Oryzias latipes: one gene and its partner. The protein of the gene in region 1 binds, or shares a complex with, the protein of each later gene. Links are inferred from orthologs where the notes say so. Each region holds a gene or a part of one and is shown in the gene's direction. Other genes may lie near its edges.

Evidence for each region.
Region 2: the proteins of kif1bp (region 1) and kif18a are in contact, whole or in part, in a cryo-EM structure (PDB 7RSI), measured with the Homo sapiens proteins. The link is inferred for Oryzias latipes from reciprocal best matches to the Homo sapiens genes KIFBP and KIF18A. Residues at the interface, in NP_056449.1 of Homo sapiens: Ser150, Glu151, Tyr212, Tyr213, Gln216, His220, Gln238, Ile251, Asn252, Thr255, Gln258, Asn262, Gly414, Tyr415, Val459, Asp460, Leu461, Asn462, Pro463, Gln464, Leu467; in NP_112494.3 of Homo sapiens: Glu181, Thr183, Gln184, Lys185, Gly186, Arg274, Phe275, Val276, Glu277, Gly278, Thr279, Asn280, Ile281, Arg283, Ser284, Leu285, Leu288, Gly289, Val291, Ile292, Arg314, Lys317, Asp318, Gly322, Asn323.

The regions. Positions count from the first base shown.
Region 1 is NC_019861.2:24,154,536-24,158,975, forward strand, and holds the start of kif1bp (KIF1-binding protein), read left to right. Parts: upstream 1-1,352; 5' UTR 1,353-1,378; coding exon 1,379-1,843; intron 1,844-2,051; coding exon 2,052-2,150; intron 2,151-3,653; coding exon 3,654-3,733; intron 3,734-3,815; coding exon 3,816-3,874; intron 3,875-4,387; coding exon 4,388-4,440. Other genes in the region: mpc1 (mitochondrial pyruvate carrier 1), read left to right, coding at 195-222. UniProt on the Homo sapiens protein: Activator of KIF1B plus-end-directed microtubule motor activity. Required for organization of axonal microtubules, and axonal outgrowth and maintenance during peripheral and central nervous system development.
Region 2 is NC_019861.2:17,967,552-17,971,373, reverse strand, and holds part of kif18a (kinesin-like protein KIF18A), read left to right. Parts: intron 1-2,392; coding exon 2,393-2,550; intron 2,551-3,612; coding exon 3,613-3,717; intron 3,718-3,822.

The DNA.
Region 1 (4,440 bases):
AGGCTTAACCTGAATGAACTGCAATATCAGAAAGAAGAAAAAAAAAACAGAACCACCACAATGTTATTAGTACGGAAAATCCTGGTTTACAAATGTGTTTGTTTGAAGAATGCTTCTTTATTTTGCCATTTTCAGTAGTAGCTAAATTGATTGGATTCGACTTAACTGAAATCCCCGTTTTTCTGTTGATTCAGCATGGAGAAGAAGACTGGATCTTCATAGCAGAAAAGGGTGGATGATGGATAATGACTTCTAAGTGCTGCTTCAGGAGCCTTCTAAACATCCATACTCATTCATCAAACATTAATTCAATCAGTGAAACAACTGTTGCACTTTTGCAGATTTTCAATCCATTCTTTTCAAGATTAGTTAATGACTTTTTTTCCTCCAAAAACAGGTCAGCAGTTGTGATTTATATTTTAAATTATTTGCATAAAACAACACAAAATGTATGTGAGGAATGTACACTGAATTGTAAAATTGTTAGCTTGACATCAAACACACCTGACGAAAAATGTAATGTTACTTGTATTTCTATAGGTCATTGCCTCCAAATTCTTTAGAGCATGAAATATGTCCAGTATACCAGGCCATTCTAGCTGCATAAATTGCAAAATATTCTTCAAAAATATGATTATTTTAGAAAATTATCTTAGCTTAAAACCAAATAAATTCTGATGCTCTTTAGTTATAATTATAGCATATTTATTTGACTTGAAAATCATGCCTGTCTATATGACTGTCATTTAAAAATAGATGAAACAGGCTGTGTTTGTCAGTGTGGATTAAACACAAAAAACATCTCCTAGTTGTGTCATTCACATGAACTCACGTCATTTTCCCTCCCTGATGTTCCAGTTGTAAATTTCTAATAAACTTGATAGAATAATATAATTTGTGAGATCATCTCTTTTTTTTCCAATTATGTTTGTGTGATCTTTGGCATATGCACTAATTTTATTTGTGTTGAGATGAGCTGAGTTGCATTTTATGGAAGCACAGTAATGTGTTTTTTTTCAACTGTTACATCACTTGACACCTGCAGTTAAACTTATTTTCTTTTCTTTTTAAGCATTTATTTAATCTTGCAGCTTTGTCTCAAAAAATCATTTTCTTATACCTTTTGTTCTCTGAAACTGTGGAACGTACATACATTGTTTAAAACTAACGTATGTTTATTTTAGTAAGTTAATAAGCTAATGCTTTGGCTCTTGTGGATAAAAGCAGGACAATTTTTCTAGATTCAAGAATCCAGTTTCCTTTTTAACTTAAAATAAGTTTTTTCTAAGTAGTACCGGGGTTGTCCAGCAGATGGCAGTAACGCCCCTGCAGCACAGATGAAAACGAACGGCGTCTACCGCCGCAGAAGAAAACAATTATGGCGTCGTTCAGCAGTAACGAGTGGAAAGCTGTCTGCGCCAAATTCACCAACGCCCTACAGCTCAGCGACGTAGAATCACGAAACGACCCCGAAAACGACCCTTTCCGATCCAAATACAAGGCAAGGGAACTTCTGACAGAGATATACTGCTCGCTGAAGAACTTTGAAGCAGGAGATGGCGAGGAGCACGACGACGGAGAGAGCAGCGAGCCGGAGCCGACGGAGGAGCCTCTGGACGGAGAGAAGCCGGTGGATCTGGATGCGTTCAGCCGGGGATGGAGCAGCGACTCGCGCGCGGGGCTTCGAGCAGCCAGGCTCGCAGCTGTGGAGTATTATTTGGGCGTCAACCACGTGGACACAGAAGAGTTGTCCGCCGGGCAGGAGCATCTGATGAACTGCATGAAGCATCTGGGCAAATGCAGAGTGTCATCGGAGAACGTGTCGCTGTTCATCCACGTCAGGGTAACACTGGCAATGTTTTGTGGCCTTATTCGCGTCGTAACCACAATCTGCTACAGCTATGACTTGCGTTTGTGTGTTTAGGGGAAAATGGCCGTACTAGTGCAGCTACAGGGTGTTCGACCACACATAGACCTTTGTGGCAGATCAGCTGATGGAGATCCCCTCCCTCCCTGATGCTGATCATGTGTTTTATTCCTCGTGTTGACAGAATCAGCTGGGGATCCTCTGGGCAGGCAGAGATGAGACGGAGAAGTCCCAGGGCTTCCTTGAAACTGCAGAGTCCATCTACCAACTTTACATGAAGGAGGTACACCTGCCCTAATGCAGTTTAATATCATGTGAAACTTTTTAGTTTATTTTTTGTGGAGATTCTCATCCATCTAGGATGGCTCAATGGCAACATTATAAACATTACAAAAAGAACAAGCAGAAAATGTATTGGAACAAAAAGAAAAACATTCCAAGGGGATTGCACCACCAGTAAGATGTTCTATTTTACAACATAAACAATAATAGTAATAATTTATATATCTGTGATCATTGGACGACCTGCTCAAACGCCTTAGCCACTGCTGCCCATTCATTAGCTTTGAGAGCTTCTGGAAATAGTCGAGACTATGCAGGAATTTGGATTTTGGAGACTGGTAATATTTACTACATAAAATATATTACTATCTACTTACAGAACATATTCCCAATTTATGGTTATATCCTCATAGACTTTAATTTGAACAAAGTCTTTCCAAAAAACAGTTTCAGAGTGAGAGTTACAGAATGTACACTTGGACTCTGTTTTGTCTTTAACTAATATGGCTAGGTATTGATTAGTGGGGTATTTTTTTTTTTTTGCTTTATATGAACAATCAGGTAGCTTTTATCAACACTGATAATGGGTTGACAAGTAAATTTAAGCAAATGAAAAAGAGGGGAAAAAATGATTAAAAAAGGTTTAAATAAAGTTATTCTTCTTCATTCACATGCACTCACATTATTTTGTGGGTGCATGTGAATTTTAGATTATTAGTAATCCATTTTTAATTCAGAAAACTTAGAATAAAATTTCCATTTGACCACACAGGATAGGGATGAATTGGATGTTTATGCAGGAGCTTGTTCGGTATGTCTTTCTCTAAAAAATCTAGATCTACGACACAGAGAGTTTTTAAGACAGGGAAATAGAAAATTTCAAGATTACTGTTTTCAATACATTGTTTTGCCGCAAATGGAATACCCTAGTTTACATTGTTTAAATCTTTTTTTGGAAGCTTTCTTAAGTGTTTCACTTTCAATGTTGAAGTTGTGTTCCAGTACATAAGGAAGTTTGAGATGGCCGATGCAGCTTGTTCATTTTAAAAGGAACCCAACAGCAGCGCAGGTGAACAACTCTTACAAGCACCCGGCTCTAATGTGAAATGGTTTGGCCCTGATATACCACCATGTCTGTTTTCCAGACCGAGCCCTGCTTTCTGCTGATTAGCTCTATTAGGTCCCTTCCACCTTCTCATTGACTGAAGACACCTGATGCAGGAAACAACAGGGTGGTAGATGTTGAGGACCAGGAATGAGCAGCCCTGGTTTAGCCACACCTTAGCATCTATTTAGTTTTTTCCTCAAATGAGATCATTTCTACCCCTTCTTAAGAAATCCAACTTGTAATCAGAGTTATCCGAGTGCAGTTTCATACTAGATATCTGTGGGATTATTCAAATAAAAAGGCTTTCACATTTGTTTACGTTGCTAAAGTTGTCACATGGGGCTGCCATCTGCAGAAACAAAGTGGGAAAATCCTCCTTATTGATTCTATTTTCAGAATGGGAGTCCCCCTACAGACATGACAGAGTACTTCTGCTCTGAGGAGAACCAGCTGACTCATCAGGAAAGAACCAAGAAGTAGAAACTCCAGAATTTATTTTATTTGGTATTTAAATGTTTTGCCTACTATAGTTTGTAATTGTGTCTCCCTCCTCACTAGGTTTGAGCTGGCCTACACTCATACTTTGTACTACCTTGCACAAGTGTATCAATATTTTGGTGAGTAAATGATCAAAATCAAATCCTGATGAACTATAATGTACTGAACGCAATTCACGACGATGCAAAAATCCGTTCACGCCGACACATTTTTGGATGATACCATGTTGCGTTTACTTGCAGGTTAAAAATGTTCTGTTGATTTTTCATTTTTGTCTAAAAGCAAAACGGCATTCACCATGAGTCGTGCAGCTCTGGCTTCACACCCAAGGAATTTAGATTGTTGTGGATACATTTCAACTTTTTGGTCTTTTTGCAACTGCAGTACGTGCCTTAAATGAAAAAAACACACACAAAACGACCTCAAGAATTCAAACGTTTTCTGTCTGTTGTCCCACAATCTCAACATGCTCTTTAATATGTTGACGTTTTCCTATTAAGCCCCACACTTAACTATTAGTTAAATTCATTTGAATCGATCTTTCTAGTAATTCTTTTGAGTTATTGAATATAATTTGTTAACGAAACAAAAGAGCTATAGTTATAGAACATGTCCATGTTGTCCTCTTTCAGGTGAAAATGAGCGGGCGGCCAACTACTGCTACAGTACTCTGCAGAGGCAGCTG
Region 2 (3,822 bases), about 6.2 Mb from region 1:
AGTAGCAACTCAGGGACCAATTTCTATTTCCACACCTGCTGCTCTTAGTTGTCAGTCTTTTTTTTCTTTCTTTTTTCCTCTGAAAGGTTGGTGGTTTTTGCAACATAAATCCAAAACACCAGAGTCACAGGGATCACTGGGGCTTAAACAAACAAATCTTTTTGAGCTAAATATTGTAAAAAAAAAAAAAAAAAAAAAAAGCTTAATTTCTGTGGTCTGCAGCTAAGGTAATTTATTAAATCTAGCTCCTGAACCAAGAAGCAAGTCAAGAAGCAAACCCCCTCATCTAACAACAACAGTCCTTTAAGTAGTGCATACAAATTTTATAGATCCTTACTGATTCTGTCATCAATCACCTTAGAATGCTTTCCATAAAAATCAAAAATCGAGGCGGAAGAGGTTTTGTTTTATTTAGACAACTGCATAATTCTTATTGTTTATGTGGAGGGGGAAGCATGTCACGAAATTGTGGAGAAGGATTACAGGAAAGAAGGATTTCCAGCCTCAGTTTCTGTCTTAAGTGCAGAGCCCCATAATAATCATCTCCCTCTTGTCTTGTAAACAGAATTACCTGTTGCCACTTGAGGAGGAACCAATAACAGAACACTGCTTTACAAGTACTTTGTTTCTTGAGTAAAAACTATCTGAATCAGCCACACGTCAGAATGTCTTGTAAAACCAGGCAAATTCTCTAGTGACATGCTGACAAAAAACTGTTGATAATCCTCCATGTAACGAGTTATTTGAAATCAAACATACCTTACAAAAAAGATATTCAAATTTTCCTCCTTGTGGCTTTGGAAATGATTCACAGCAAGTTTAAGTTACTGATTATACTTGACAGGTTTTACTTTGTCATGAATGTTCTAGCAACTTTGGTCTCTGTCAAGGTGTAACTTTGCACAGCTTTAGGATCTAACAAAGGAGAATATTTTTATTCTCGTTATTATTAAAACTATGAGAAACCTCTTGTAATTCTTGGATTATTTTAACAACTACATGTAGACCCAACATGTATCTAAGGGTTCGGGGGACTGGGATGCTCAGGAAAAGCTTTTTGTCAAGTTACATTTACACTTCATATAGAAAAGCTCAATTACCAGAACTCTGAGCTAACTCTTGGAAAAATATCGTCACTGGCATTGATTGTGCTCTTTTTGCTTATTTTGTTTTTATCATGCTAATGATAGAATTTTTGATTTTGAATTTAGCTGCTTTTAGGTAAAAAAAAAAAAAAATTTGGTGGTTCAATTCCTGCTTTTTGTAAGTCTATAGGTTGTAGTCTTTTTGACCAAAGCAAACATTGTGTTCATGAGTACAGCAAAGCAGCACTTACAAAATACCCGGTGAAAGTGGCTTGTACAGTCAAAACACCTTATTCTGAATTTAACATTTTTCCAAAAGCTGTTAATATTTTTTGGAAGTCACTGTTTGCATGCAATTATAGCAGGGTAATGGTTAGGGTTACAGTTAGGGTTAGCATTAAATTATGTACGGCCAATGCAGCAATGTGCATTTTGGCTGCAAGAATATGTGTGGCCGACATAAATTTCCCTCAGTTTTTGAGCTTGGTCACACAGAAATGAGTATGAAAACCATTGGCTTTTTTGTATTTTTTTCCAGGTTCTGGTATTGTGGTCATGTATTTAAACCTTCTGATATTGCAACGCTGCCACTACATTATTTTGGTTCATATAAGTCCAACAAACCTCCTCTGTGAACTTTGAATGAGAGAAAACCCGCATTCAAGTAGTAATATGAAATGAAAATAGACAGAGTACTGGTAGTGCAGAATTAACTACATCCAAACTTTTCAGCATTAATATGAGTTGAGGAAAAATGTCCTTTGGTGCAAAAGAGCCAAATTCTTTTTCTCAATCTCTAGAGTTTATATACTTTTTGTTGCTCTGGTTTGCAGACAGGACAATCATTAAAGCAAATTTTAGTCAAGTTTTCCAATGAAAAAATTACCCATCTTAAATTCACTTTTTTAACTTAAACCTGTTAATATAATAGGGGAGTTTAACTAAGACCCAGTGTTATAAAATCCACGTCCTCAAACCTGAATGCCAGGATTTCAAAAGGTCTGAAGTTTGTCTGTTTACTTGGCTTTACTACCTCAAAGGCTGCAGACATGAGAACTTAAATCCTGAATTTATGTCTCACAGTCAATTTTATTTAGTTTTTCCACTGTTTTTTATTCAGTGTATCACTGTTGAGTATATTTTTTTACTGACTTGTTACATTTTTTAAGTTGCTGACACAGAACAGATAAATTACAACAGTAGCATTTTGTGACAGTAGAAAACTGGGTGGAACTGGCAATTTATTTAGACTTGTGACAGCAGACTTGCTCTTTATCACTCTTTGTAAGTTGTTTTTTCAATTGCAGTGTTTGCTTATGGCGCAACTGGAGCAGGCAAAACACACACCATGATAGGGTCACCAGATGATCCGGGGGTCATTTATCGGACCATGAAGGAGCTGTTCAAACGCATGGAGGATGTCAAGGAGGAAAAAGAGTTTGCTGTTACTTTCTCATACCTTGAGGTAAAACGCTTGACTACTTGGTGTACTAGTTGGTACAACTTTTTGTCTGTTTTATTTTTGTTGTTCCGTTTTTATATGTCCTTGTATAGTTTTTTTATAAATGATCTATAGGAATATGTTAATAGTTTTGAGGGTACAAATTATATTCTTCACAAATCTTTGGTCACTGATAAATTGAAGGCTGGATTTTCTGATTAGTTTAGGATCATTTTTTTGTTTTCCATCTAATATTCAAAAAATAAATAAATAAATAAAAATAATTGATAATTTATTTATCCCACAATGGAAAATTCTTCTCCGCATTTGACCGATCCCCGGAGGGAGCGGTGAGCTGCAGTAGCGTTAAGGCAGCAGTGATATGGTAATTGCCCCCAGTACCATTATTTATTCCCCTCCGGGAATCGAACCCTGGACTCCCTTTACCTTACCAACTGAGCTACCCAGCTGCCACTATATAGTTATATAGCGTCTTATTCCCAAAACACAACTGATTTAGGTAATCAGCAGCAGATACAGCAGGATTTTGTAACCCTTGTGCTATCTTAGGCACTTTAACATTGAGAGTTGGGTCATCTAGACCCACTAGACAGTGCGCTGAACCTTTTTTCTTCAATGATTTGTGATCTTCACTGGTGTCCATGGATTACATGAAATCCTCTTCACCTTTATCTACTTTTGTTATGGTAGGGAGAACACGTCAATGTAAGGGTGGGGTCATCTGGACCCCACAAGATAGCACCTAAAACATAAAAAAAAACAAAAAAAACAGCAGGATGCCAGCCCTCGAGACCAGGAGTCAAACATTTCGGATTTAGGGTTTGGAACGAGTTGCTGTAAAATTCTAGAAAACAGTCAAAAGTGTGGAAAAACAAATGTATCTTGATGAAACTCCCTTTGCCCTGTTTGTATTTGATCCAAAAGTCTGTTTTTCTGACAGTACCAGTTTCAATTTGATTTGCACTCTATACATTCATTCATTTAATGTGACGTGCACTATTTTCCAGATTTGCAGTTTTTTTTGTTTGTTTTGTCTTTACAACAGTTGATCTCAATTGTTCCCAGGTTTACAATGAACAGATCAGAGACCTGTTGGCTAATGCTGGGCCTCTTAATGTCAGAGAGGACAGCTCCAAAGGAGTCGTCGTTCAAGGCCTCACACTGCATCAGGTTTGTAACAATGCACCCAAGAACATATTAAAGGTAAATCAAGACTTTACTATTGCAGGTAATTTGTTACAAATTAAATTTAACAACACATTGTGTGATTGATCA